Linked DNA regions of Xenopus tropicalis. The protein of the gene in region 1 binds, or shares a complex with, the protein of each later gene. Links are inferred from orthologs where the notes say so. Each region holds a gene or a part of one and is shown on either strand. Other genes may lie near its edges.

Evidence for each region.
Region 2: the proteins of pten (region 1) and mast2 are in contact, whole or in part, in an NMR structure (PDB 2KYL), measured with the Homo sapiens proteins. The link is inferred for Xenopus tropicalis from reciprocal best matches to the Homo sapiens genes PTEN and MAST2. Residues at the interface, in NP_000305.3 of Homo sapiens: Pro391, Phe392, Asp393, Glu394, Asp395, Gln396, His397, Thr398, Gln399, Ile400, Thr401, Lys402, Val403; in NP_055927.2 of Homo sapiens: Lys1112, Lys1113, Tyr1114, Gly1115, Phe1116, Thr1117, Leu1118, Arg1119, Ala1120, Ile1121, Arg1122, Val1123, Tyr1124, Met1136, Trp1138, Glu1141, His1170, Val1174, Ile1177, Leu1178, Leu1191.

What each region holds. Positions count from the first base shown.
Region 1 is NC_030683.2:12,935,217-12,950,912, reverse strand, and holds the end of pten (phosphatidylinositol 3,4,5-trisphosphate 3-phosphatase and dual-specificity protein phosphatase PTEN), read left to right. Parts: coding exon 1-135; intron 136-5,628; coding exon 5,629-5,792; intron 5,793-8,653; coding exon 8,654-8,881; intron 8,882-12,035; coding exon 12,036-12,221; 3' UTR 12,222-12,605; downstream 12,606-15,696. UniProt on the Homo sapiens protein: Dual-specificity protein phosphatase, dephosphorylating tyrosine-, serine- and threonine-phosphorylated proteins.
Region 2 is NC_030680.2:92,378,924-92,394,619, forward strand, and holds the end of mast2 (microtubule-associated serine/threonine-protein kinase 2), read left to right. Parts: intron 1-508; coding exon 509-647; intron 648-4,010; coding exon 4,011-4,143; intron 4,144-5,072; coding exon 5,073-5,238; intron 5,239-5,901; coding exon 5,902-6,003; intron 6,004-6,076; coding exon 6,077-6,199; intron 6,200-7,096; coding exon 7,097-7,206; intron 7,207-8,633; coding exon 8,634-8,785; intron 8,786-9,387; coding exon 9,388-9,710; intron 9,711-9,957; coding exon 9,958-10,164; intron 10,165-10,992; coding exon 10,993-11,219; intron 11,220-11,392; coding exon 11,393-11,515; intron 11,516-12,386; coding exon 12,387-12,523; intron 12,524-12,716; coding exon 12,717-12,904; intron 12,905-13,047; coding exon 13,048-15,053; 3' UTR 15,054-15,203; downstream 15,204-15,696. UniProt on the Homo sapiens protein: Appears to link the dystrophin/utrophin network with microtubule filaments via the syntrophins. Phosphorylation of DMD or UTRN may modulate their affinities for associated proteins. Functions in a multi-protein complex in spermatid maturation.

The DNA.
Region 1 (15,696 bases):
CAATTCCCAGCCAAAGGCGCTATGTATATTACTATAGCTACTTGTTAAAAAATAACCTGGAATACAGACCGGTGCCCCTGCTCTTTCACAAGATTGAATTTGAAACTATTCCAATGTTCAGTGGCTCAACATGCAGTAAGTATCATTCCATTTTTCTTTTCATTCTCGAACTATTGCTTTCTGGCACCGACACTGCTGCCTGTGTGTGTATATAATGAACCAAAAGGGAGGGCAGTTAAGAGTTTTTGAATTGATAGCTTAATACTCATGTACATTGGATATCCAACAGCCTAGAGATTAGATTAGGAAATTTCCCTAGCTGATGCACCATGTCGTCATTGCACAGTTGCTTTGGTGGATGAGGACGCTGCAGCTTCTTTTCGCTTCTTATTGTGCTGAGAGCAGGAAGGACTGGAGCAATAGGAAGACCATCTCCCCTTGTGTGGCCCCTCATATGCTCTCCATCTGTTGGTTAGAGTTTGAGATGGGGTGTGCTGCATATTCAGCTGCTTTCCCTTTAAATTTAGCGTTAAGTGTTCTGATGTGGGTCGATGTCAGTGTGGCATAGCCCTTAAAGGTTCATTTAAGGTTTGTCTAATGGAAATCTTAAGGGAAGATATACAGTTACTTGTATTTTTGGCTCCAGTTAAGGTGTTACCAATTGAGTTTGCATTGCATAATTTGCTGTGTTCCCAAGCTTTATAGATAGAACCTTATTACCCCTAACCCTCCTGTTGTGTTATACCTAACAACCAACCAAAAGGCAGGGTGACCTTAAATTTTTCAGACTATGGTCTCTGTAAGGTAAGACACGGCAACAGGGTGGGGGGATTGGTGGTGTTACTAGGTTCTCCTAGGGTCATGGGGTCTGGTTTTATGCAATTACACTTCTGTCGGAACCGTTATATTCATAGGAAGCCATTGAGTGGCACGGCCAGGCTTGTTATATGATTGGGCCCTGCACAACTTGCACAGTAGCAGCAGGTTTTTCTAGTTAAACGACTAATAAAAAGCAAGGGCAGGGCATTTTTGGGGGATGGCATTGCAACCACAAAAGGACAAACCAACTTATAGCAAATTTCATGTTCCATTTTGCATAGTCACAGGCATCTAAACACCCCCCCGGTTTCCCCTTACACTTCAGCTTTTCAGCTCGTTTCTATAAATATTCCCAATTTGATCTGCTTTCTGTGCCGATTATACTTTAGAATAACTGCTGCAGTAGCTGAACCAGTCTTTCTCTTTGCTTTTGTATAAACGGAATACCACAAACCCCTCGTGCAGTCGGGGCATTCTCTCTGCACTCGCTGCTGTGGTTTTGCGCTACCTTTGTTCCACTGTAAGTTCCATACACCCACCCTTCCTGAGTAACCACACCGCCGGGCTTCTATCTACACCTTACTGACACCTAAGCTGCCACTTCACATGGCTGGAAACGCTAACCTGTGAATTGATTAGAGGGTGCAACCTTGTTATCTGCTGTGCAGTCTTTGCACCTTTGATTTAAAGGGCGGAGGCCCATCGTCACCTAAATGGAGCAGTTTCTAGAGTTTCTCTAGAGAAAGCAGCTCTGCTTATTTTCTGTGTAGTGTTTGGCCCTTGAATCACCAGTTGTGTGAGACTTTATCATGCCTGGGTGCCTTCCCTGGTGGCCGAGGGGGGCCTGGGTGCCTTCCCCTGGTGGCCGAGGGGGGCCTGGGTGCCTTCCCCTGGTGGCCGAGGGGGGCCTGGGTGCCTGGGTCCCTTCCCCTGGTGGCCGAGGGGGGCCTGGGTGCCTGGGTCCCTTCCCCTGGTGGCCGAGGGGGGCCTGGGTGCCTGGGTCCCTTCCCCTGGTGGCCGAGGGGGGCCTGGGTGCCTGGGTCCCTTCCCCTGGTGGCCGAGGGGGGCCTGGGTGCCTGGGTCCCTTCCCCTGGTGGCCGAGGGGGGCCTGGGTGCCTGGGTCCCTTCCCCTGGTGGCCGAGGGGGGCCTGGGTGCCTGGGTCCCTTCCCCTGGTGGCCGAGGGGGGCCTGGGTTCCTGGGTCCCTTCCCCTGGTGGCCGGGGGGGGCCTGGGTCCCTTCCCCTGGTGGCCGGGGGGGGCCTGGGTCCCTTCCCCTGGTGGCCGGGGGGGGCCTGGGTCCCTTCCCCTGGTGGCCGGGGGGGGCCTGGGTCCCTTCCCCTGGTGGCCGGGGGGGGCCTGGGTCCCTTCCCCTGGTGGCCGGGGGGGGCCTGGGTCCCTTCCCCTGGTGGCCGGGGGGGGGCCTGGGTCCCTTCCCCTGGTGGCTGGGGGGGGCCTGGGTCCCTTCCCCTGGTGGCCGGGGTGTCGGGGATGCCTGGGGGCCGGTATCTGACAAGCTGCAGTGCACACATGCCTGTAGATAGATACCCCTGGCAGAAGCCGTGCAGCGTAGCTGGAGCTGCGGCGGTGCCATAGGATTGTGTAGCCAGAGAAGCAGGTGGGTGAGATTTTCCTGTCCCGCTTGTAAACAAGGACAGTTATTCTTTCTATTTGGTAACTAGGCAATAAAACCTGATCCATTCAGCCGGGTGTCAAGGGCCCTTTAATTATGTAAATATCAATTATTTTCCCCGGGCATCTGATCCCTTTGCATCTGGTAACCCCCCCTTTATAGTAAAAACAGTTTTTATTTTCTGCCAAGATGCAAGCCATGCACATATATATATATATCTACAGTATCTCCAATGCGGTAGTAGAATTCAAACAGGACTTTGTTCCTACATAAATGAGAAAAAAATCCCCTCCCCCAACAAAAGCTGACAGTCTCTCTAGTCTAAGGCCACATTTATGCCTGCGCCGTTTAAAGTAAACTTTTAATATGTTATAAAATGTTCTGTTTCTAGAAACTTGGTCTGTATTATTTTTTCTACTTTTTTAAATTATTTGCCTTCCTCTCTTCTACATCTATTGAACTTTCAAATGGCAGTCAGTGACCCCGGCAGCTAGAATGCTATTGGTCTGTGATCTTACAATGTTGTTTTAACTTTGTTTCTTATCTTTCTATCAAAGCCCCGTCATTATTCATATTCTTAGCTGGTTGCTAAGATAAGCTAGACCCTAGCAACCAACTAGCTGAACGTCGGCAGCTCTATAAAAGTAATGAGCCTGATCCAACCCCTGTCATAGTAGTCGGTACTGTGGCACCTGTTATCCAGAATGCTCGGGACCTGGGTTTTACGGATAAGGGATCTTTCTGTAATTTGAATCTCCATACCTTATGTCTGGTAAAAATAATTTAAACATGAAATAAACCCAATAGGGCTGTTCTGCCCCAATAAGGGGTAATTATATCTTAGTTGGGATCAAGTACAGGTACTGTTTTATTATTACAGAGAAAAGGGAATCATTTAACCATGAAATAAACCCAATAGGGCTGTTCTGCCCCCAATAAGGGGTAATTATATCTTAGTTGGGATCAAGTACAGGTACTGTTTTATTATTACAGAGAAAAGGGAATCATTTAACCATTAAATAAACCCAATAGGGCTGTTCTGCCCCAATAAGGGGTAATTATATCTTAGTTGGGATCAAGTACAGATACTGTTTTATTATTACAGAGAAAAGGGAATCATTTAACCATTAAATAAACCCAGCAGGGCTGTTCTGCCCCAATAAGGGGTAATTATATCTTAGTTGGGATCAAGTACAGATACTGTTTTATTATTACAGAGAAAAGGGAATCATTTAACCATTAAATAAACCCAATAGGGCTGTTCTGCCCCCAATAAGGGGTAATTATATCTTAGTTGGGATCACGTACAGGTACTGTTTTATTATTACAGAGAAAAGGGAATCATTTAACCATTAAATAAACCCAATAGGGCTGTTCTGCCCCAATAAGGGGTAATTATATCTTAGTTGGGATCAAGTACAGGTACTGTTTTATTATTACAGAGAAAAGGGAATCATTTAACCATGAAATAAACCCAATAGGGCTGTTCTGCCCCCAATAAGGGGTAATTATATCTTAGTTGGGATCAAGTACAGGTACTGTTTTATTATTACAGAGAAAAGGGAATCATTTAACCATGAAATAAACCCAATAGGGCTGTTCTGCCCCCAATAAGGGGTAATTATATCTTGGGATCAAGTACAGGTACTGTTTTATTACAGAGAAAAAGGAAATAATTTTCAGTAATTAGAATGATTTGCTTATAATAGGCCATCTCCCATAGACTTTCTGTAATTTAGAACTTTCTAGATAATGGGATTCCAGAGAATGGACTAGTTTGTTTACTGCCCTATATTGCAAATGTGAATTCAGCATTGTATGGTGAATTTACATTGTGTGTATACTATACATTGTTAGTGAGGTAAATGGCGGCAGCCCAGGGCATCGGCAGAAAAGAAGATGGGAAGCTACTGGGGGCATCAATATTGCTAATGGGCTGTTGTGGCCTAAGGCTAGTACACAAATTCCTTTAATAATGGACAACTAAAGCCTAACAAAGAACAGGCTAGAAATGCAAAACATTGATCACCATGGGCCAAAGAAGCCGGGCTTGTATAGCAGAGTTTCATTCCAGTAACTACAACCCCCCCCTCCCCAATAGTCCTAGTTAATAGGGCATTGCCAAAATATGTATATGTCATTTTCTTTATAAACTATAACATGGGAAAATGCTTGCAAGACCTCTAAGAATAGAGGCTGGGGCCCTACTCCAAGGGATGATTATAAGCAAATAAACCACATCTTTTAAATCAGCGTTTTTCAACCGCTGTTCCGAGATGTTGCCTGGTGTGCCGTAGGCAGGGCCGCAATTTTTACTTTAAAAAAAATCCGAGCCCTGTCATTGGTTGCGCCCCGTGTGTATGGGTGACGTCAGTACGCACGGGGCGCAACGTTATAAAAGGGCCTGTGTGCGGTCGCGTGTAGGCAGAAGTGCAGAGGCGGCGCGCGTGAGGGGAAGATGCTGCTGAAGCCGCCGAAGAGTAAAATGCTGCTGGGCACCAATGTATTAAGGGGGGCCACGGGGCACACTGACTTATGGGGGCACTGCTGCTGGGCACCAATGTACTAGGGGGGCTGGCTCTTGGCACCAATGTACTAGGGGGGCACTGCTGCTGGGCACCAATGTACTAGAGGGGCACTGCTCTTGGCACCAATGTACTAGGGGGGCACTGCTGCTGGGCACCAATGTAACAGGGGGGCACTGCTCTTGGCACCAATGTACTAGGGGGGCACTGCTGCTGGGCACCAGTGTACTAGGGGGGCACTGCTGCTGGGCACAGAGTTAAATTTTTTAACATTTTCTAATGGTGGTGTGCCTCGTGATTTTTTTCATGAAACAAGTGTGCCTTTCCCCAAAAAAGGTTGAAAAACACTGGTTTAAATGATACAATGGTGCAGACATCAGATCTCTGATGTGACATTAAGGAAGACACACAGAGTTACTAGTAGCAGCTACTTGTCACGGCTACTAAATGCCAGAAAATCCCCTGCCATAGACAATACTGAGAATTGCCTCTGCTAAAACACACGTAGAGACAATTATCAGTAAATGATCAGCATTGTCTGTATCTGTAGCTGCTACTAGTATCTGTGTGTCTTCACCCTAGAACAACAGGCTTTTCTTTCTCAATAACCTGCTTTCCTTCAGACCAACTAACAACCTCTCTGTATTCTCCTAGATCCCCAGTTTGTCGTTTACCAGCTGAAAGTCAAGATCTTCACCTCAACAGCAGGTCCCAAGCGCATCGAGAAGTTGATGTATTTTGATTTCCCCCAGCCTTTGCCCGTTTGCGGGGATATCAAGGTAGAATTTTTCCACAAACAGAACAAAGTGATGAAAAAGGTTAGTGTGGCTTATTTTTTTTCTAAGCAATGTTATAAATATGTTCACACACGGTTACACAACAACTGCACAAGTGTCCATTTAGGGTGAAGAGACACGGAGCTACTAGTAGCAGCTACTTGTCGTGGCTACTAAAATAGACAATGCTGATTATTTACTGATAATTGTCTCTACGTGTGTTTTAGCAGGGTCAGTTCTCGGTATTGTCTATGGCAGGGGATTTTCTGGAGTTTAGTAGCCATGAAAAAGTAGCTGCTACTAGTAGCTCAGTGTGTCTTCACCCTTACGGCGTTGGATTTCTTGCCCCTGAAGACTCTGGCAGCTTTGGGTACGGTGCCCTGGCACAAACGTGGTGCACACACACTCATAAAGAGAATGTCTGGTCCATTTATTCCGACTAATATTCCTGTTTAATCTGTATGGCGATGTGAACGTTTGCATCTGGGACGTTATTTGCATCACGTGTAGCTGTAATTAACTATAAATGACCGGCTCTTATCAGCCATACCTCTGCTCTGTCACTTGAATTAAATATTTACACACAAGCTACTTGCAAGTACACCCTGTGAAACAGAGCCACACACTAGTTTAAGGCTGAACCCTGACCTGTGGGAACGAACGCCAGCTTCATCTCTCCTTGCCTTCCCATTGGTGGCTCATGCGTGAAGGCACTGTGGAATATTGTAGGTTTTTTTTTTATCGTTTGAGGAAGAAAGGAATCATAAAAAATAAAGCAAACTGTTCTTCCTTTGCAACAAAGTAGCCTTTATCTGACAGCATTGATTATCAGTTGATCATTTACACTTGTGGCACTGTAGACTAAACATTGGGGCTGTGGGGCATGTACTTTAATCACAGCTACTTGTGATAGCAAGTCACACACGGGGCCGACTCTCAGGCTGCAGCGGGGGCTGTTTCTCTTCCTGCATTTAAGCACAGCCACTAGCCAATGTCTTTATACCCCCCAGTCACAGGGCATTTTTTATCTTTTCTAATAAGTAGTCCTCTGTTCTTGCCATTGGTTTCCTTGGGAACCACTGTTAGTCAATCTGCTGTGTGCTACAGCGCCCTAAATGTTGACCGCACTATTTATGCTTTTGTATAACTGATGGAATTTATTTACACAGGCAAGTAGGCCCTTGTTTATCTTACACGGAAATAAGGTTTGGATTGGAATAAGACGTTTTGCTTTTGTAAACTTGTCAAAAAAGGCAAATAATGCAACATGTGGGAGTTCTGAAAATCTCCTGTTCAGAAAAACACACACATATATAATATAGTTAAGTTGGGTTGAAAAAAGACCAAAGTCCAACAAGTTCAACCCTTCCAAATGAACCCCAGTGCACATATAGACAGTCTTACCAACCTATCTATTCAACTCACATTAACTATATATACCATTCTCTATACCAGCTGTAGATTATACAACCGAAATAGCCTTTTCATTGTTTGTTTATTTCATTGCTTGTTTAAGAAATCGCCCAAAGCCACACTAAAGCTAATGTCCTACAGAGTGATTTAGTCATCTGCTACCACTGGTGACTAAAATGCCTTTCCAATCGCCAGTGGAAAGGCTTATACATTGCGGAGATCTATCTCAGGCAACTAAGGCTAATGCACCACTGGGAGATCAGTCGCCCACCATCAATCTCTGGTACCTTGGGCAACTAATCTCCCAAAAAGCATTTTCACTGGCGCAGTGTTTCCTTCTGCAGGCAACTTCGAGGTTTAGGCCTTTTCCATTTATTGCTGGTGGGAGAGCTTTTCGGGGAGATTAGTCGCCCACAGTAGTAGAGATTTATCATGGGCGATTAATATCCCCTAATCTAAAGGCATTAATTGGCAGAGCAGACATCTTATCAGTGCTCTTTGGCCTATGGCACATGGGGCATTTTATCCCCCACTGCCCACAGACAGAGGCGCAGACAAAATGCCCCTCTCCACCTGTCATTAATCCAAATACTACAGGATAAAAACGTAAAGCAGTGACATGCAGAGAGGGCCATCTGTTTCAGCTCTGTGTGCATTGAATAGGGCACATTCAGTAGTAGTCTCCGTAATGACAGATGTGGGGGGGGGGGTTGTTTGTCCTCCGCTGTTCATCAACTGGGGGCAGTGGTTGACAAAATGCCTGATGTGCAGTTGGCTGACTAAAACATCTCTTTGGCTTTTTGTTTGATATCGGCAATGGACTCTGTTGGTTACAAAGTGTTAAAGTACTTGTGCGTTCCACCAGTGGTCAGTCAGACCTCGTGACAGCTATCCAGTGTTTACTTTAGAGCCTGTAATGTTTGTAGTTCATAGAAACCAGTTCCATTGTATCAATGGAAATAGCCATTCTGTAGTGCTGGAGAGGGTCTAATTTGCAAGGGGTCAAATGCCATTCGTGACTCCCCACACACCTACAAGAGGCAAATATTCCTTATAAATGACCGTTACTTGGATGACTCGTGTCCTCTACACACACAAGCCATACCTTTACCAACATGGCCACTCCTGGCCCAGTCCACAGCCATACCTTTACCAACATGGCCACTCCTGGCCCAGTCCCCAGCCATACCTTTACTAACATGGCCACTCCTGGCCCAGTCCCCAGCCATACCTTTACTAACATGGCCACTCCTGGCCCAGTCTACAGCCATACCTTTGCTAACATGGCCACTCCTGGCCCAGTCCCCAGCCATACCTTTACTAACATGGCCACTCCTGGCCCAGTCCACAGCCATGGCTTTACCAACATGGCCGCTCCTGGCCCAGTCCACACAGCTCCTTTTGAATACTTTTTCATTTTTACGAAGCCATTGAAGGTTATTTCCTGCAGCACTGTTTACTAAAAAAAAAATTGTGTTTTTTGTTTTCAGGAAAAGATGTTCCATTTTTGGATAAACACATTCTTCATACCAGGACCGGAAGAGTATTCAGAAAAAGTAGAAAATGGAACGTTAGTCGGGGAGCAGGAGCTTGATGGCATATACAGTACAGAACGTTCAGATAATGACAAGGAATATCTCACCCTCACTTTAACTAAAAACGACCTAGATAAAGCTAACAAAGACAAAGCCAACAGATTATTCTCTCCAAACTTCAAAGTAAGTACCCAAAGCCTTGTTTGATGGAACGCACAAATGTACTGTACCCTGCAGCCAAATGGCTGGCATCTGACATACCCTCCGAGGGGCGCTTCAGCTGGCATTTACTGAGCTACATGCTCGGCAGGAATCCTCACTGCCAGCTGACTGAACTGCAATACATAGCATTGCGACCAATCACAGTGAGGCTCCCCTGGTTGCAGCAATTGCACAGAGAGTTCTCCATTACCTGCCTACAGTAGCTGTGATTAGTAGTGATGTGCAGAGTGAGAAAGTCGCCCCTAACCTGCCCACTTCCTACCCGACCCAGCTTCTGCCCTGTATTTATAGGCCCGCGTCCATCCCACCCTGCAATGATGTCACAAAACTGAAGGCAAAGGCTGGTAGTGTTAGGTCGTGGGCAAGCTTCAGTACATTGCTATTACAGGTATGGGATCCATTATCCAGAAACCTGTTATCCAGAAGGCTCGAAATTACAGAGAGGCTATCTTCTATAGACTCTCTTTTTTGATAAAATAATTAAAATTTTTTTTAGAAATTTCCTTTTTCTCTAATTATAAAATAGTACCTTGTACCTTATTGGAGGCAAAACAGTCCTATGGGGTTTATTTAATGTTTAAATGATCTTTCAGTAGATTTAAGCCAGGGATCCCCAACCAGTGGCTCAGGGGCAACATGTTGCTCCCCAACCCCTTGGATGTTGCTCTCAGTGACCCCAAACCAGAGAGTTATTTTTGAATTCCTGACTTGGGGGCAAGTTTTGGTTGAATAAAAACAAGATTTCCTACCAAATAAAGCCCCCTGTAAGCTGATAGGGTGCATAGAGGCTGCCTAATAGCCAATCACAGCCCTTATTTGGCTCCTCCATGAACTTTTATGGTGCTTGTGTTGCTCCCCAAGTCTTTTTACATTTGACTGTGGCTCACGGGTAAGAAAGGTTGGGGACCCCTGACTTAAGGTATGGAGATCCAAATTACAGAAAGACCCCTTATGCAGATAACCCCAGGCCCCAAGGATTCAGGTCTCATACCTGTATAAGCAAAGAATCGTCTGATGTGCCGTAGGCCATAATCTTTCTCTAGACCTCTCAGCCCTGCCCATTTACTATTTCCCACTGTAGTATATTCCATGGCCCTGTGTATGTAATGCACACACTGTGTCTGTGTGTTAGAGCTATATTATATATATTATAGTAACATCTGCTGCCTCTTTCCCCTGTTATCTCCCGCTGCAGGTGATTAGCTGGCCGCTTTTACTGATAGAAAATAGAGATGTGTCTTTGTCTAATGTAAATATTAGACACTGAATATATCTTTATTCTTTGCTATGTTTGCCTGGATTCATGTTGCTGTTCAGCTTTGCTGCTTGTCTCCATTGTTCTCACTTGTTTGGACAGCCTTTTCTTCTGCCGTATCTCTCATCAAGTGCATAGTAACCAGGTCTGAGGTGTCTCTCTATAGGCGAAGGCAGACTTCACTATTAGTCGCGGCGATTTTGAAAAATTGCAGCTACTAATTGCAAGCTAGCTAGAATGACGGTGACTAGTACCCATGCGGATGTGGTAACTTAGCCAGCTACGGGGCTCACTGTCGCTGCGGGTAATTTTTTTACAAATCGTGGCCGCCCCATCTGTCTTCTCCCCACTATTAGTGGCTGGTAACTGGCATACTGATCTTCAGGGGCCAGACTGTCAGTATGCCACTGTTCCTACTGCAAATGAGCCGCTTGCTTGTTTGGGGGGAAGCCCAAGCAGCAGAAGAGGCAGGGGAAAGGCAATAGGCAAGTGGTAAAAACAGATATGCTCAATGCATATGATCGACCGGACCGATATGGAAGTGCGGCGTGAATGCGTATGTACGAGACACAGAAATCCACGGGGCCACCCCTTCCTTAGCAGCTTTATTAAAGGAACAGTTACACCAAAAAATGAAACTGTATAAACATAATTACCATGTAATATACTGTTGCCCTGCACTGGTGTAAAAGTTGTATTTTTGCCTTAGAGACACTACTATAGTTTATATAAATATGGGGGCAGACATTCAATCTGGAAAAAAAGGCACAGGTTACATAGGAGATAACAGATAAAACACCTTTATATTCTATAGAGTTTATCTGTTATCTGCTATGTATCCTGTGGCTTTTCTCCTTTTACCAGCTTCAATGTCTACACAGCAGCTTAAGGTCCCCATACACCCTCAGATCCGTTCGCTTGGTGATGTTGCCAAGCGAGCGGATCTTCTCCCGATATCCCGATGGGTGGGCGATATCGGGAGAATCTATTTTAACGACGGGTATAGGCAAAGTCGATCCAGGGACCACATCAACGAGCCGATGCAGTCCCCGATCCGACTAGATTTTTTTAATCTGCCCGATTTCAGGCCAGATATCGGTCGGGCAGGCCCGTTGGTAGTGCCCCGAATCGGTCTAAGGGACCCATATTGGCAACTAGAATTGCCCCGTGTATGGGCACCTTTATTTATATAAACCAGTGTTACCAGTGCAGGGCAACAATACATTATAATTTAATTACTTTAAAGCTTTCATTTTTTTTTGTTACTGTTCCTTTATAAAGGCCCCCATACACGGGCCTGATAGAAGCTATCGATATCGGTCCCTTGGACCAACTCGGCAGCTTATCGTGTAGGGGCAGAAACGAGCGGGCTGGCCAACCGATATCTGGCCTGAAATTGGCCAGATATCGATCAGCCAGGTTAAAAGATTCAGTCGGATCGGGGGCTGCATTGGCTCGTTGATGCGGTCCCCGAACCGACTGCCCCATTGCCGCCTACATAATCCGGTCGTTTGGCCCCAGGGCCAAACGATCGGATTTTTTTTTTTTTTTTTTTTTTTTTTTAACTTCAAGCTCCCCGATATCGCCCACCACCCGTAGGTGGGGATATCGGTGGAAGATCCGCTCGCTTGGCGATCTCGCCAAGCGAGTGGATCTTACAGTGTATGGGGATCTTTAGGGATGTGCCCCTTAAGTATTATATACAGAGAAGAAGAACCCTAATCTGACTCAGGAAATTATCCATCAATGAGGCATAAACATAGATTGGCTGATCCTTATCACTCCTGGCTGGGGGTTTACTCTAACATTAGGCCAACTGCTTGGGATCCTGACACTTAACTCTTTCTTTTCCGCCCGTAGGTGAAGCTATTTTTCACCAAGACAGTAGAAGAATCTTCAAACTCGGAAGCTAGCAGCTCAACCTCTGTAACGCCGGATGTTAGTGACAATGAACCTGATCATTATCGATATTCTGACACCACTGACTCTGATCCAGAGAATGAACCTTTTGATGAAGATCAGATCACACAAATTACAAAAGTCTGAAGGGGGTTTTGTTGTGTTTTTTTTTTTTCCTCTTTTTTTTGTTTTTCCCCAATTTTTTGTTTTTTTTGTTTTTTTTTAAATCGAGGGAAAACCACACAGGAATGCAAACTTGAATAAACTGAGAAAAAAAGGACCTTTTTAAAAACAAAAAACCCGGCATGTGACATTGTGTCAGACACCAAGTTATAGGAGCAATTATCTATTCCTTGACCAATCCTGCCAGCGAGGTGTTAATGGCGCTGCTGCCCAAACGGAAAGAGAGAGACGGGCGAAAAAAATCGTGAATGAAAAGGTTACGTAGCGTTGTTATGTATATACCCTTTTCATGTCTGAGGACATATATATCTTAATTAGGTTAAATAAAGATGGCACTTTCCCATTTTATTCCAGGTTTTTTTTTTTTTTTTGAAAGTGGAGATTTGTATACTTTAGCAATCATGCCTTTTTTTTTTCTTTTTTTTTTTTTATGTGTTTGTGTCACCAACTAAAAAAAAAAAAAACAACCAATCACGTGCATTGTGACACCCCCCCCCCCCCCCCCCCCCCCGGCTCTACGCAATAGGTAACCTTGCGCATCGTGCCGAGGGGGTTTCGTTGCGTTTAGATGGGGCGGGGTAACGAGGGGGGATGCTTAGTAACGCAATTCCAGCCGCATTCACCGCGTGGTGTCTTCTGCCACGCCCCCTTTTTGTTTCCCCCCCCTCCCCCTTAGCATGCTATGATGAGAAACCAATCCGGAACATAATAAGGAATGCTGCTTCATTTTTTGTGCGTTTATATTTTTTGAAAGCAAATGGTGCTAGAAAGGGCAGCTGTAGGGAGCGATTCTGTGTTACGCAGGTACAGGAACCCTCTTTTTGTTTTCATTCACCAACACAGCGAATAAACATTGGCATTTTTTATTACCCCATCCCTCCATTCTATTGGCTGTTCCATCTCTTGTGTAAGCAGGGCCAGTTTTCCCCCATGTGGGGGCAGATCTGATAATCACTTACCCCCCAGTTATTGCATTGATTCCCAACGTACGTGCTGTGAATGCTTTATGTGCTGCCTGCAACTTTTTTTCCCGGTCCCTTACTCTTTTCATTCAACATCCATTTTTATTGGTGCACAGGATATTTCAATGTGATTCTATCGATTTAATTTATAGGTTTAAAAAAAAAAAAAAAAAAAAGAAAGGCAAGCCGGCATGATGCGTAGGGTAAAATTCATTACAGTCAGCAGGTCCACTTTTTTTTTTGTTTTCGTTGTTTTTTTTTTTAAAAAAATCGTACACATTCTATTACAATGCGTTTTGCAGTTTTGCACACTTTTAATGTCATTAACTGTTAGGGAATTTTACTTGAAGAATGTTTAGTACCTACAATGTCTTTCTTTTTTTTTTTTTTTTTTTATATATACATATATATTTTTTTTAATTTACACGTGGTTTAGGAGCCACTGTTGCTTTAAACTTTTTTTTTTTTCCAACACTGCACAGATATAAAAGTTGTGTATTTCAAAAAAAAAAAAAAAAATATAAAGTGTCCCAAATATTCTATTATGGTATGATTGCTATTAAACTATTAGAGATCTGAACTGGCAGTGTTTTTGTTTATTCACAGTGGAAGCCAATTTGTAGCTTTTTAGATTTCCCCACTTCTCGCCCAGACGGCAGTTAAACACGGCTGCTGGTTTTTTTTTTGGTTGCAAACGGGGCTTCTGGATTATTAGCCAAATACTTCCCTGATCCCTAGTACTACTTTCACTTAAATAGCTCTTGTTTGGGTATAAACGGACGTAGCGGCGCGGTCGAGGTCTCTTCTTCAGTTGGGACTGAAGGATTAATGGCTTCTATCCTGTTGGGTTGGAAGAAAAGATGGCCTTGTATCTTATCTTTAGCCTTATCTTTAGGTTGCCCATCTCTATTGGTCAATATAGTAAGATCCTAGCTGGGATCAAGGGGGAAGCTCCTTTGCGGTTGAGGTCTCTTCTTCAGTTGGGACTGAAGCATTAATGACTTCTATCCTGTTGGGTTGGAAGAAAAGATGGCTTTGTATATTTCCTTATCTTTAGGTTGCCCATCTCTATTGGTCAATATGGTAAGATCCTAGCTGGGATCAAAGGGGAGCTTCTTTGTAGTCGAGGTCTCTTCTTCGGTTGTTCATCTTGGGACTGAAGGATTAATGACTTTTTCCCTGTTGGGTTGGAAGAAAACATGGCCTTGTATATTTGGTAATCTTTAGGTTGCCCATCTCTGTTGGTCAATAGTAAAGTCCTAGCCAGCAGCAAAGGATCCTAGCTGGGATCAAGGAGGAGCTTTTTACCTATAGCAACCATCAGCAGGTAGCCTTTACTGATCATCTGTTTTAAAGCATCTTAGTGGTTGCTATGGCTCACTGCTCCTGGTCAGGTGTATTGCCTGTTATTACATAAGAGGTGGGGGATAAGTTCCTTATCCCAGTTATGCCTAGTCCCGTACTTTGAGTTGAATGTCAACTGCTCCAGGTGTAGAAATGGTCGCTACAGACGATGGTAAAGATTTGGCTTCCTCAAGAACAGCGGTTCTCAACCTTCCTAGTTCCTCGTGTTGTGGTGACCCCCAACCATAAAATTATTCCTAAGACCCTATGAAATGCGATGGTCTTAGGCGACCGCTGTGAAAAGGGTCGTTCCACCCCCAAAGGGGTCCCGACCCACAGGTTGAGAACCGCTGCTCTAGAAGTACATGCTGCTCTTATTGGCTTATTTTGTAACATTAATGGAGATGCACTAAACTAAAAACAAGCATTGGGAAAGCATGAAGAGCCGGGTATAGGAGGGAAGATGAGGCTCTGTTGGTCTTTGATCATCGCTGTGGCCGTTTGTCCCGTTATGAAGTTTTCAGTTGGCTCTGAGATGAGCAACGTGTTGGCTTTTGAGAGAACAGAGCAGATAGGATGTACACAAGGGATGTACGAGCCTCACAATATACGTCCTCATTGGTGGCCCTCTTGCATGAACAAATGAAACTGTGCTGTGTAGTGACATAACGTTTCAAGCTTTCATAAAATTATTGGTGCTATGGATTTGTCTTAAGTCTTATCGTTAAGGGAAATATACGCCCACTAAATAAGGGTTTTATTCAAAATTTTATATAGGAGCCAGACAGAGTGTGTATGATAGTGCCCTGCCATCTGGGTATATGTGGCAGCTCCGGGCATTGGGTTTAACAGCATGCTTTGATTCTGTTGGATCGGAAATGACCAAACCGTAGGCCCAAACTAAAGGAACAATGGAATGTGGTCATCTACGTATCTAGTGATATGGTATCTGACTGATCAGTTGGATTGAGGGTTTGCTTTCGTATTGCCGCCTTTCAGATCAAACCCAGTGTATGATAACCTTTCCTAAACTTGCTTTATCACTGATGAGAATGCAGTAGAAGTATCTAGTAGAATTAAGTCTTTACGAATTGGACTTTCTGAGTTCTCTTGAAAATGTTCCACCACTCATC
Region 2 (15,696 bases), on another chromosome or scaffold:
GATCCAAAAGGAAACCCACATAGAAGGGGGGGGGGGGAAATATCTTGCAGACAGTATCTAGGTTAGAATCTATATTGGGACTCCTGAAAGGCAGCAGTACTAACCACCTAGCCACCATGCTGCTGACTACATATGAGGAAAGAAAAGGGAAGTGGGGGGGGGCAAATGAGGCATCTGATTATAGTCGCAGCATCCAAACATTGGCATCTTATATGTAACACAGCAGCCTCACTTTGTCTTATTCAGTGCACAACTCTCTCTTTTCCTGACTGATTAAACAAAAGTCACTAAAGGTGCAGAATCGGTCACAAGGAAGGTGTTGCTTCCCAGCTCACTTCATGCAGTATAATTTAAATAGGGAACATTTTGTCCAGCAGCAGCTACAGGTATCTAAAATGTGAAAATGCACTTCACATTTGAGGTGTTTGTTACTCTTGACTATTTAGTTTATTATGTATGTGTTTATTATTTATAGTTTCCTCATAGTTTCTAATCTATTTTTTTGCAGGAGGAGATTGTGCCACACTTCTGAAAAGTATTGGTGCCCTTCCAGTTGATATGGCTAGAATGTATTTTGCAGAGACTGTGCTAGCACTAGAGTACCTTCATAATTATGGAATTGTCCACCGAGATCTCAAACCAGATAAGTACGTACTGATAATTTAGCTCTTCATTTTAAAGTAACTTTAATAAAATAAAAATACAAATATAATTTCTAAATAAAGAAAGAGCTTACAGTTTTCATCCTAATTATATTGCAAAAACACATAGCACTCTGTGTCTGTTTTTAGGAGATATCATAAAATACATAAAAATTAGAAATGCCAGTTCCTGCTTGTTAGTGGAATGCAGGTAATTAGAAAAAATAAATATCCTCCCTTTTTTACTGAGGGGTGTGATTTAGGATCCACGTGGATGGCAAATAGGTCAAAATTTAAAGTGACAGGTGCTCTTGAAATACTATTCTTTAGATGTTAGTGTTTTCTTCCTTCTGGCTGTCTGCCCTACACACTACTTGGTTGTGTGTAGGGCAGGGATCCCCAACCTTTTATTATTCGTGAGTCACACTCAGAAGGGGTGAGCCACATGAACATGAAAAAAAGTTCCTTAAGGATGCAAAATAAGGAACATGATTGACCATTTGGTAGCACCATGTGGACCGATGGCCTGCAGAATGCTCTGTTTGGAGTAAAACTGCGTTTCTGTGCTTCCAAAACTTGCCTCCAAGCCAGAAATGTAAAATTGGCACCTACTTTGCGGATACTGGGAGCAACATTAAAGGGGGTGGTAAGCAATATGTTACTCACGAGCCATTGGTTGCGGATCGCTGGTGTAGGGTATGCAGAGCAGATCCTCACTGGGCAAGCCACTTGTATATTAATTTAATCTCTGACTAAATAACACAGCATTCCTTAGGCACAACATTAAAGTATGAAGCAAAAGGGCTTGGAAAGTGGTTTGTTAATCTAATATTCTGCTTCCGCATTTTCATTTTTTTTTTTTTTTTTTTTTTTATATCTTTATGTTTGGGTTATTTTCTATGTCATCATTACTAAAAAAACAAAATAAGAAAAAAAGATAAAATAGAATATAAAATAAACAGCATAAGTTTAACATACACATTTTATTTTTTATGCAACAGGGAGTTGAGTCACTTACTTATTAAACGAAACAGAACAGAACATTGCCCGTTCACCTAATTTGCTAAAATAAACCCTGGCTTGTCTTTAGAACTCAATCTCAAAATAAACAAACCTGCCTTTTCTTGGTCCCACAGGAGGTTCTTGCATTTTCAACAAAAGCTTTATTATGTAACAAATAACATTCAAATTTAATAAAAAGTTCAACCCCTCTTTGGCACTCAGTGGGCAGTGACTGAAAGCACATGCCAATTCAGCTCTCCCAAAATTGCAGTGCACCGTAACTTTAGTGTGATGATCCAGTAAAACTATTTCCAGTCAGACAATCAGTACAATTAAATGAGATGTAATGGTGGTTCTGGTTCACTCAAGCATTAACTGGGCACATGGTCTTAAAGGGAAACATATTTAATTTACATTGATCCAAAAAGTGTTTAATATAATTTTACATGGGCATGCTCAATTGTCTTAAGATCAGGAGACTGACTTGGCCATTCATTTCCACTTCTTTGCTGTGTGTTTTGGGTCATTGTCCATCTGTATCATGAAATGCCACACAATCAATTTGACTACATTTAGCTGGATTTGAACAGACAGTATGTCTCTTAACACCTCAGAATTTATTCGGCTGCTTCTGTCCTGTGTCACATCATCAATAAACACTAGTGTCCCGGTGCCACTGGCAGCCATGCACGCCCAAGCCATCACACTGCCTCCACTGTGTTTTACAGATGATGTGGTATGCTTTGGATAATGAGCTGTTCCACGCCTTCTCCATACTTTTTTCTTGCGATCATTCTGGTATAGGAAGAGTGCATATGCTGAGGAGTTCCCATACCAGTCAGTTGAACTGAAGAATCTGCTCGGATGAGTAGTGAAACATCTTCAATGATTACTTAACAAGTCCAGTTGCTTTAGATTTATTTATACTAGATATATTATTTATACTAGACATTCTGGTATAGGTTGATCTTGGTTTCATCTGTCCAAAGAATGTTTTTCCAGAACTGTGCTGGCTTTTTTAGATGTTTTTTTAGCAAAGTCCAATCTAGCCTTCTATTCTTGAGGCTTATGAGAGGCTTGCACCTTGCAGTGAACCCTCTGTATTTACTTTGCAGTCTTCTCTTTATGGTAGACTTGGATATCTTGGATACGCCTACCCCCTGGAGTGTTGTTCACTTGGTTGGGTGTTGTGAATGGGTTTTTCTTCACCATGGAAATGATTCTACGATCATCCACCACTGTTGTTTTCCTTGGACGTCCAGGTGTTTTTGCGTTGCTGGGTTCACCAGTGCTTGGTTTCTTTCTCAGGATGTACCAAACTGTAGATTTTGCCACTCCTAATATTGTAGCAATTTCTCGGATGGGTTTTTTCTGTTTTCTTATCTTAAGGATGGCTTCTTTCACCTGCATGGAGAGCTCCTTTGACCTTTGTCTGTTCACAGCAAAATTTTCCACATGCAAGCACCATACCTCAAATCAACTTGACTCAACTACAGACTTGCCAACACCTGCCCATGAAATAGCCTTTGAGCCAATTGTCCAATTACTTTTGACCCCTTAAAATGAAGGGATTGTGTTAAAAAAAATGCTTAAGTTGCCTCACATTTTTATGAAATCGTTTTGTTCACCCCGCTGAATTAAAGCTGAAAGTCTGCAGTTTAACTGCATCTGAGTTGTTTCATTTAAAATTCATTTTGGTAATGTACAGAACCAAAATTAGAAAAAAGTTGTCTCTGTCCAAATATTTATGGACCTAACTGTATGAAAAATGTATATTCCATGCGGACAGGGTACCAAAACATTAAACTTGACAAGTGGCTTACATATAAACTAATGAGTTTCCTTAAGTACCCAGTCATAGCTGAGTCCTCTGTCTGGCTGAGAATTGCTTTTCACCAGTGGCCTCATCCAAAATGGCTGTTTCCTAGCATTATTGCAAATATGAATGGGCAAAACAATTGGATGTGTAGAGTGGTTAGAGATGTAGGTTTGTTGGCTTTACTATAATACTTTATTAGTTATAATTAAGTAAGAAAAAAAGCTTTGTTTAAAGTTGCAGATCATTTTATATCCTGAATAAAACGCATTTTGAATTGATTATCTACCTTCTGCATATAAAAAGTCTGTTCACCAAGGATCTTTAGAGAATATTTGGAGAGGATTTTGAACTATTTGTGAAAGAATTAGAAAATCCCAGTATGTACTTGTTTGTACAAGTAGATTTTTATATCCGTCTGGTGTTGCATTAAATTATTTGTAGATAGTCACTGCACTTCTATGCAAAAGTGAAGAATAAAAGGGGAATAAAGCACTATAAATGTGTTCAGTTTTCATTATTAATACATATAATTGTAACTGTAATTGCAGCCTCCTAATTACCTCAATGGGGCACATCAAGCTTACAGATTTTGGTCTCTCTAAAATTGGGCTCATGAGTCTAACCACAAACCTTTATGAAGGCCATATTGAAAAGGACACAAGAGAATTCTTGGATAAACAGGTAAGCAGAACCAGCAGGTAAAGATTTTCACAGCCATACTGGTATAGATACAAATGTCCAACTTTACTGATCATTAGCTTTGGCTGTTGGGATCTGAGACAACAGCATGCTGGAGAAATAGAGTTTAGATATTGTGGTTTAGTTAGCGACCTGTTAGGTCTTTGTTTTTATTTTCCAATTTATAGTAGAGAAAACTAATTGCCAATTGACTGGTATCAGCAACTGCCCTTTCAGAACCACATATTACTGTATATTTCATTTTGGTTTCATAATGCCATTTTTTCCAATACAGCTTGGGAGTCCATGGTCTGTAGTACATGTTGGTTATTGTAAAGGCCTCCTGACTTTCAGAATCTTTCTATAGTCACTGCATTTGTGTTAAATAGCTGGAACAAGGATTTCTTTTTATATTTGGCAACATTTTTGATCAAAGTAGCAGTAGAGCTATCTCAGGTTTTCTTGGGATGTTAAGATGAAGGTCTTTATTCATAATCCAAAAAACTTGTTGACATGGTTGATGTGAGGACATTGCCAAGGCATTTGTACCTTGGTGTCCTGTACAGCAATAGGGAGAGCTTGTTCTAGAAACATAATTGAGTTTCGCCAGTGTTTAATGGCATCTGTGAAGTCATCTTTTATAATATTCAATGTGATTGGTACATCTTGTAGGTCCTGACCATGGCTGTTGTGTGTTGACATTGATCTAATGTGGTTAAAATTTGTAAAGCTTTTTCCCATTTGATCATATGGGGTGTTTAAAATCTAATGGTACTGTTAGCAAGAATTTGCAACATTCTGAGGGTATTCTCTCATGTTCAGCTCCATGTTGCAAAATGTCAACGAGTTGTTGATGAAAACCTGGCATAGCTTTGGTGTTCTGGACTTATAATAAAATTCACTACAGACCTTTTTTGTCATTCTTCCACCAGGTGTGTGGGACCCCAGAGTACATTGCTCCAGAAGTTATTCTGAGGCAAGGATATGGGAAACCTGTTGACTGGTGGGCTATGGGTGTCATTCTATATGAGTTTTTAGTTGGTTGCGTTCCTTTCTTTGGTGATACACCCGAAGAATTGTTTGGACAAGTCATCAGCGGTAAGTACCTTTCTTTTAGTTTTTTTTTAGCTAACTAAATAACTCGTTTTTTGACCATTGTAAGATTGTATTTAAATGGCTTTAATATATGAAAGTGTTAAAATATTAGAAGTTTAAAAATAAACTCATCTTCCCATCTTGAATTTGGATTGGATCAGTGTACTTTTTGCAGTGCAGATAATAATTCAGATTTTTAAAATGGATTTACTTTTTCCCTGTAATAATAAAAGAGGACATTGTTTTGATCCCAACTAAGATATAATTAATCCTTATCGGATGCAAAATAATCCTATTGGGTTTAATTAATGTTTTATTGATTTTTTAGTAGACTTAAGATATGAAGCTCCAAATTACAGAAAGACTCCTTATCCGGAATACCCTTGGTCCCGAGCATTCTGGATAATGGGTCCTATACCTGTACAAAAGTTAAGTAAAGGATGAAGATAGTGATGGTTATGCACAAATGCATAACTAATAACTGTGCCCTCGTCCCTTCCAACAAGCATCTTCTGATAGGATCAGATGCTGAATAGTGTATCTGTTCTATATCAGACATTGCAGTTTTAAAAACACCAACTCTTATTTACACAATAATGTATGGGTTAAAGTTGCATAGGTATAAATGTTACTCAGCTGACTTCATGGGGTTTTATTAATTAACAGATGAAATTGCCTGGCCAGATGGAGATGATGCTTTGCCTGCAGATGCTCAAGATCTGATATCCAGACTTCTCCGACAAAACCCCTTGGAGAGACTAGGAACAGGTCCGATTTAGTCACAGTTTTCCATAAACCGAGAACACACAACAACATTAAAACCATTATTTGCATTTTATAGGTAGCGCAATTGAGGTTAAACAGCATCGCTTCTTTAAGGATTTGGATTGGAATGGTTTGCTGCGGCAGAAAGCTGAGTTTATTCCCCAGCTAGAATCTGAAGATGACACCAGCTATTTTGACAGTAAGGAAATACTGTACATATTCATTCTGTGTAGCTGTAACATTATCTGTTGTCTATAATGCATGGCAGGGTACGCTGCAAATGTAAAACATTTCTATCAGATCATAGGTATATTTAGTCATAGCCATATCATTTAGCCAAGATATATCATAAAACTATAAACTGTGGCTCTCTAGTACCACTTCTTTTACATTTTGATGACCTACCAGACTCCCTTAAATGCCCATGATTAGTCAATATGCACATGGACCTTATCAGGCAGACTTGCAAATTGGTCAATATACACATGGACTTTATCAGGCAAAGACTTGCAGATTACTGTATGTTTTGGACATTTCATGTCAAAAGCTCTTAAAAATTAATTGGCCAGCAGCAACCATACAGGTTTTAAAATTGATAAGAAGGTTAGGTTAGCAGATGTAGTGACACATATAGCTTTACAAATAGCACTTCTGTGTCTATTGCATAGGATTTATGTTTGCAATACAAAGAGTCCGAACCAGAGAAATTGCTTTGCTGAGTAACTTTGAGCCTGCAGTAACAGTGCACACCACAGATACATGCTAGCAAATCGGTTTAAGATGAAATTGTAGTTGTAAACTTCTCCACTATGCTTTCTAATGCTAAAATACAGATTGTATAGAAAACTAGAGCCTATACACTATTTGAACTCCCTATACTGCATGATTTCTTCTACCTAGAACTTAGTGTAGATGATATAGCAGAAGTTTGCTGGATACATTCATGTGTTTAACAACAACATTTGTTATTGTGGGAAAAACTCAAATATTCGCTTCAAACATTAGTTATCTCCATCTACAATATTTACAAATATCTGTAGTTATTGTTTGAAATCAGTAAATATGTACACACTCTGACTAACTGCTGATCGCACAGCCCGATCTGAAAGATACCAGCACATGGATTCTGAAGAGGAGGAAGACACAAATGATGAAGATCGAGTAGAGATCAGACAGTTTTCATCATGTTCGCCTCGATTTAGTAAGGTAAATCTAGATGCTTTTTTTAAAGTATACAGCAGCTATACATTTAGTCGAGTTTAGGCAAGAACAGCAGCATAAGACCTATTCCCTTGGGTGTTTTCTGATGTCCCATGGCCTCTCACATTCCCATAGTACTCGTGTCATTCTCAGAGGAAGATGCAACATTTATTATGAATACAAAATTGAGTGGAGGGCTAAGTAAGAGACAAGATCGGTTATCTGTTTTCTGGTCTTGGTATCATTTTGGCGACACCACTCCTGTCTCCTGCAACAACCCTTTGCTGACAGAATTCTTTAACCAGCTCCTCTATATCATAAAATGCCATAATGTATATACCCAGTCTTCCTCAGTCACAAAGAGAAAATACACCAATGCTGTAGCTTTTTGGGGTTGGGCTGTGGGTGCTTTCCCATGATAATTGCTGGCTTTGTTTCAAGCTGAAGCAGGTTTGTTACCATGACCATTTGGTTAAAAGCCCTTTAAAAGTGGAACTCAACATAAATTTAAGGTAGCTAAATATCACAGGGCTAATTCACATTCCACTAGTTCACATTAGTTCAGTTATTGTCAGTACACTATGAATAAATACTTTTTAAAGTTGAACTTTAAAACGGATTTGTTTTATTTCTTCTGGTGTTTTCCAGTAGCAGCTCAAGTAAACCAGGTTGCCAACTCTCAACTGTTTGCTACAGTTTGCTACATTAGTGAGTGATGAAGCGCCCAACAATACCTGCCCCTTCAAATTAGTTGGAATCGCTGCATGTAAAACTCATTACATGCAGCAATTGCAGGTAATCATTTCAAAATGCCTCTTTCTGCATTTTCTGACTAATGCAAAGGGGCAGGTATTGTCAGTGTTTCATTGCTCTGTATGTCAGCACCCTAAATTAAGAAAAAGCAACTGCAAAATCTAATTTCTGATTTAGAAGAAAACTATTCAAAAACAATTGAGATGCAAAACTTAAAATACCCCTTTAAGTTGTAATTTTAGACTGTACCTATAAACTGGAGTCTTTTTTATGAAAAAAAAAATCAAAATAAATGTCAAAAATGTCAATAAAATAATGCTTGTACCTGTATAATGGTTCACCTGTTTGTGAGGAGAATTCTAAATATGTCCAGTTGTAGACAACATAAATATGCACTGTTACTGCTTTATTCAGAACATCAATCTGGGAAAAATTTCAAGATTTTAGTTTCCATAATTAGGGAAGGCGAGGTTTGTCTCAACTTCTTGTCTGATAAATGAATCATTCATTTATTTTCTAGCCTGTAGTGAGCGGGGGTGATTAAGTTGGGCAGTCCGGCAGCATTATAGCACCAATAACTGAAGATTCAGTAATGTTGTTTCGGAGTTTAATATTCTGCAGAATGCATCCATACCTTTTCTTTCAAACAATACAAAGCCTAATCCAGTCAAACTGTGCAGGTTTATAGCAGCATGGAGCGCCTTTCCATTCATGAAGAAAGAACTCCTCCACCCACTAAACGCAGCCTGAGTGAGGAAAAAGAAGACAAGTTGGATGGACTGGGTGGGTTGAAGAACAGAGACCGGGGCTGGGTCATCGGATCCCCCGAAATGTAAGGGATTTTGGCAGTTGCCCTATCTCTACAATACATACAGTATATATCACTGTGGCGTTCAAGCCACTTTCTGTTAGTTGGTAAATTACCTGTTATGTGTGAGTGATCATCTAACCTTGTTTTAGATTTGGTTTAGTCACACAACAGCACCATTGAACTATGACACAGCAGTGGAAAATTCTAATGTAACACAAATTTTACATTTGGAGTTACTCCTTACCACTATACGTAATAAAAGGTGCTAAGTTTGCCCAGGCGCAGTTACTCATGAAAACAATAAAACAGGTGACCAGGAAATGCTACCTTCTGATTGGTTAAGTTACTGCACCTGGACAAACTTAGGGGCAGAGAAAATATTCCAAACATTATTTGCATTTTTTCTCAAATCAGACAAAAAAAACAACCTCAATCTCAATAGCATTTTAGTGAAGCAGGTATTTATAAAAATATATAAACATTATAGGCCACTTTTTCATAATGCAGCACAGCAAGTATTAGTATTAGTAACTTGTTTACAAAAAATGACTTAATGTATTGTGATATGTTTTTTTTATAGCTGTTTGGAAAGTATTTTAATCATGGTTTTGTTCTATATTTAGCCTTCGCAAGCGCCTGTCTGCATCTGAGTCTTCTCACACAGAAAGTGACTCCAGCCCACCCCTTACAGTCAGAAGGCGATGTTCTGCGCTGGTTGATATGCCTCGCTTTGCCATCTCCACAGAAGAAGAATTGCACTTACAGAGGAAGCTAAGCCAGTCTCAGCAGGATGCCTTAGCAAGCCCATCGTCTCTCCAAAAAGATGGCAACCCCCTCCCTATCCTAGAGCAGCCAGTGGAAAGGGAACTGAAACTAGATGATGAATTGGTGCCATCTACACCTTCTTCTACAATAAGCAATATTAGCAGCTCAACCACACTGACTGGTAATTACCCAGTACTGTAAGCCTGTAAACCCTCTAGTAATATTCCAAACAACACAATATAGTGCACTTATTTTATGTCTAAGGCTGTTATTTTTTTTCATTCTTTCATTCTTACTTTTACTAACTGTTTGTTTACACCCTTTAAAAATAAGTAAGTTAGTTTCATAGTTAGTTGAAGTCTGTTTTGATGTAGGGATCCTATGCCATAAGGTAAATAAACTTGAAATTCCTCTTATTGTTTCACCAGCTGGCAGCAACGCTGACTTCTCAGACAACAACATCGGCATAGACGTTTCTGAATTTGCCAGTCCTAAAGCCATCAGTGACTTAGCTGTAAGAAGAGCACGCCATAGGCTTCTATCTGGGGATTCTGGCGAAAAACGCCCCTCCAGACCAGTCAATAAAGTGATCAAGTCAGCCTCGGCCACTGCCCTGTCACTCATGATCCCCTCTGGTAAGCAATGCCTCCTACTCCTACCTTAGCACTGTACTGCAGGACACAGTATGGTATTCACATACAAAGTCTGTTTAATTCTAAATATATAAAAGTATTTCAGTATACAGAGATGTCTGATTTTATGGCATAATATATTTCAGACATTATTATTTCATGTTGCTGGCATTTTATGTTATATTATATAAAACTATAACAATCTATATCTCAATGTAGCAATTATAGAAGCACTCACAGGACATGAGAAAGGTCCTCTCAGGAGGAACAAAACATTTACTTTAAATAAATATTTATTGCCCGCTATTAGTCCCATGATTGCTTTTAGTTTTGCCTCATGGATATTATTAATTTTTAAATGAACCTAGGCTAGCGTGAGAATGTGCTAATGAAGTATAGTGACGTATCTGGCCTAGAATGTCATTGTCAATCAATGGGGCATTACAGCGTATTTTGGAATTTCTTTATACTAATCCTGCCCGGTTTAGGTATTTTTTTTTTTTTATAGGAATCTCAATGTTCAAGCACTCTACCCAGAGGTAAAATGATGGTTTTTGCCTATCTACTCATAACTCAGTGCGGCAATAGTGGCGCACAACTGGTGATTTCAGAACTTGAAGATGTCTAAAAAAATCTTAGTGTAGAATTATGTCCTTGTTATAACAGAATGGGTAAATTTGTTCATGTAAACCATTTAGGCAATTAGTGCTTTATAACCTGCTTTGTGTAGATAGACAAAGTTTAAAAAGTCCACAACTCTTTAGTATTAGTTTTGGTTTTCAATTTCACTTTTGAGCTTTTAATTTCTAAACAACTGATTTAATTTTCCAGATTACCATACTTATTCACCTTTGGCCAGCCCTATGTCGCCACATTCGTTATCCTCAAACCCATCCTCACGTGACTCTTCGCCAAGCCGAGATTTTTTCCCAGCTATCTCCCATCTCAAACCACCAATCATCATACATCGGGCAGGAAAGAAATATGGCTTCACTCTGCGAGCCATTCGTGTCTACATGGGAGAAAGTGATGTCTACACTGTCCATCACATGGTGTGGGTGCGTATAAATATATATATGTGTATACATGCTTCTGTGAGAGCACTTTCTATACAGTGTATGTCATAGAAAGAGTTAAACAGTGTTTTAGGACACTGGGCGAGTCTGCTCATCACTAGTAGCAGCACTACATTTACATGTTTATCTTAACAGTATAATGCACTCTTTTGTAGCATGTCGAAGAAGATGGTCCAGCTCATGATGCTGGGCTCCGAGAAGGTGATTTGATCACTCATGTCAATGGAGAACCTGTCCATGGGCTAGTGCACACCGAAGTTGTGGAACTCATCCTGAAGGTACCACTCAACCAGATGCTTAACACTGGTTTGCTTGTATTTGCTTTTTTAGACTAATGGGAAGATGTGTTACATTGGTACCCACATTCTGTCATTTACAGGAGTATTAAAAAAACATTTTTATCTTCACAGCTTTTCACTGTGGACAAGTTTGGCATTTTGTTAGTAGTTGACAATGTTAAGGTGGACATGGGCTGCAGAATATATGTTTCTCAACAGTGGTACTTTAGGGAGCATTTGGAGGGGAGGTCATGGCAGGGAGTTCCAGACACAGGCAGTAGCTTGAGAGGTGAAAGGCAGAAGCAGAGCTGGAATATATGGTGGGGCTTGATTGTTAATGTGAGTGTTAGTAATTTGAATTTGGTTTGAGTCAGTGGAGGAATTACCATACTTGGTCAATTATAAAACCTACACTTTCCAAAATCCAAGGCCAAGGAGAAGCTGTATAGAAAACTGAAAGTTCTGTATAACCACAATAGCTTTTCTTGCTTTTTTTAAAAAAAAAAAAAAATTTGCAATCATGGCATTATTATTAGGGATGCACCGAATCCACTATTTCAGGATCTGGCCAAAGCCTCAATCCGTTGCAATTGATGCGACCTGATCAAATCTGAATCCTAATTTGCATATGCAAATTATGATATGGAAGCGCTAAACACCACCACATGGGTACATTTTTTTTGCGCACGGTGAACTGTTTTCAACTTCAGTGTCTGTGACAAAAAGTTACATGATTTTAAGGATTCTGATTTAGAAAAAGCCCAAATCTTGTCCGAATTCCGAACCAAATCCTGGACTTGGTGCATTCCTAAATATTATTCATAATTGTATCTTGAAATTCACATTTTGTTATATTGTGTTTGTGTGGCAGAGTGGAAACAAAGTTTCCATATCCACTACTCCATTTGAGAACACTTCAATCAAAGTTGGCCCAGCACGGAAAGCTAGCTACAAGTCAAAAATGGCTCGCCGGAATAAGAAGAGCAAACCAAAGGATGGGCAGGAAAGGCAAGTTCATATTCATGATCAGCTGAAATTGAATAAAATGCATATATATGTATGTGTGTGTGTGTGTGTGTGTGTGTGTATATATATATATATATATATATATATATATATATATATATATATATATATATATAATATAATATATATTTGTAAAATCATACATTACAAAGCTTATCTTTCTTGTTATGCACAGCAAGAAAAAGTGTTCTTTATTCCGGAAGATAACGAAGCAAGCATCACTACTTCACACCAGTCGCAGCCTGTCCTCTCTCAACCGTTCCCTGTCCTCTGGAGAAAGTGTGCCAGGTTCTCCCACCCATGTACTGTCCCCTCGTTCTCCTACACAGACTTACAGATCTACTCCAGACTCGACACACTCAGGTATAACTGTGTGAGCAGTTCTCACCTTCTGTTTAGGCAAACCAGAAAATAACAATAGATCTGTTGTTGTGTTGTTTGCTATGCAATGATAGGGGTTGCAGTAATATCTCTCGTCAATTTTGTCCTTTTTTTCCCTTTTCTAGTTGGTGGTAATTCTTCTCAAAGCAGCTCTCCAAGCTCCAGTGTTCCTAACTCTCCAGCCAGTTCTGGGCATATACGACCTAGTTCCTTGCATGGGCTGGCTCCAAAGCTACAAAGGCAATACAGGTCTCCTCGTCGCAAATCTGCAGGGAATATACCACTTTCACCTTTGGCACATACGCCCTCGCCAACATCTCAATCCACCTCTCCACAACGTTCACCTTCACCTCTTCCAGGACACACTCTTGGAAACTGCAACATTCTGCAGTCTTTTCCGGTCAAATTGCACTCTTCTCCACCACTTGTGAGGCAAATATCAAGGCCAAAAAGTGCTGAGCCACCACGATCTCCTTTGCTGAAAAGGGTACAATCTGCAGAAAAGTTATCTGGTTCGTTATCCTCTGAGAAAAAGCTGGCTTCTTCTCGGAAGCACAGTCTGGATATCTCACACTCAGATTTCAAAAAAGAGATAATGCATCGTGACTTAAGTTTGCAGTGCTTGCCAGAGTCTATGAGTGAGAACACTGGTGGCAAAGTAGGGCTGGCAGAAAAAGGGACTCTGCAGAAACCTTCAAGGAAACTTGGTGCTATTCGTCACGATAGGGTTGAAAGAAGGGAGTCACTTCAAAAACAGGAGGCTATTCGTGAGGTGGATTCTTCTGAGGATGAAACTGATGAAGGCTCAGAGGACAGCCAGGATGGGAGGCGGTTAGAGAGAGCTTCATTTAGAAATGAAAAAGTTTCTGCTTCAGCAATCAGCAGTGGAAGAGATTCCTGCCAAAAGCAGAGCAAGAGTAGCACCGAGGATGATTCTTTCCTTCTTCCAGACTACAGAAGAAAGAGTGAGGTGAAAGAAACTGCTGGTAGGAAAGTTATTGATGTCACATTGCAAAATACCCCTGACCAATCTGGGATTCGGTCCTTTTGTAGTCCAAACCTTCCCCCTGATACTTGCCTGATACCTGCTGCAGAAATCAATATGCTAAAACAACAAAACATTTTAAAACGTGAGGTAAATGCTATGCAAATACAAGGTAAACCACTCCAAGAATCAAACCAACAAAGTACAGGCACTGATAGGAAGAACACTCAGAATATTGTGGTGCAAAAAGAAGCAGACTCCTCCTCAGATCCACATCTATGTCAGTCAAGCAAAAGTAGCTGTGTTAGCATTGAAGCTCATTTAGAGGTGCCTAATTGTAAAGAGACTCTTCCTGAAGATGGCTCTAAAGAGTCTGCACTTTCTCTTTCCTCATCTTGCCTAAAGACCACTTCAAATTCTGTTGCAGTACACTGCTCTGCAGGAGATACATGTTCAACTACCAGTACTGCATCAGATGCTTATGTGCAATATTTGCCTGTTGTAAATGAGCAAGGGCAGCAGGAACCTGCTGAAAAGCAAAGCACTTTAAAGGGTATGAACAACTCTGTTTCCACAGAAGCAACCTTGTCTCGAAAAGTGGGTACAGTTTCCTCAACCAACCCTGTGTCCAGTGAGAAAAAACCATTGGTCGCTCATATTGCAACCATGGCTAAAAGTGTCTTGGGACCAGTAAAGCTTAGCATGCCGGGATCAAAAGGTTCAGATGACCATATAAACAAAAAGGAGAAAAATTCAAGGCAAAAGAAATCTGAGCTTTCCAGATCTGAATCAATGCAGGAGAGCATTAGAGAGTTGTCTACAGACACAGGTTTCAGGACATGCACCTCCCTAAATGAGTGCACTCTATCTGCTGTCTCTAAGCAACAAGACTGGACTTCTGGACTTTCTAATAAGTCAGAACGACTAAGAGTATTTGATGTTTTAGACCCTAGAAAAATTCCTCCATCAAAGGACCAGCCACCACCTGCAGATAGATACATGGTGAAATCTCCATCACTCAGCGAGGTCAGCAAAAAACTAAAGAAAGAGGAAACTGTGACTCAAGGGACAAGCAAAGTGATTGGTAGTCACTCCCACACACAGGATGGTCCATCATTACATGCAGATAACAAAAGAAACACATAGCAGTATGTAAATTTGGACTTTTGTTGGCAGCCCCTGCATGTTATACACTAGCATAACTATGTATCGTTTTCATGCCTTTGTTTTTGTTTGTTTTGTTTTCATGTTGCATTGTTTCCCATACATTTATCCTCAAAATTAGTTAAGAACTCATTTCTTTGTAATATATTGCATGCCCCCACACTATTATTTGGGGGTGCTGTAGATATGTTGGTGGAACAGGGTATCTTAAAAGGCAGGGGTATTGTACCCATGCTCAGTAGGATATTGGTGTAGAATTATGTAAAATGGATGTATTTTGGATACAGCCCTTACATCTGTTAGATACACATATGATTTCACTGGCTTTCCATTGCTAAAAGCAAGATTATATTTTATACTTTTCTGGTATTAGGAAATTATTTTTTTAATTTCTTTAAAGACAGCCTAACCCCTTAGAAGGCATATGAAGCAGTCTGGCTTGTTTGTATATATATGTATATGTAGGTTTGAGAAACTGGAAGCCTAAAGTACATCATATCTACAAGAAAAGTAAGACCTCTGAATACAAAGTATGCTTTGTTGCCATAATGTTAAGTAGCAGCAAGAGATCGGGATAGATAGGAGCTGAAAGCAAGCAGCGCATTGTCGTACAGTGCTGGGGAAT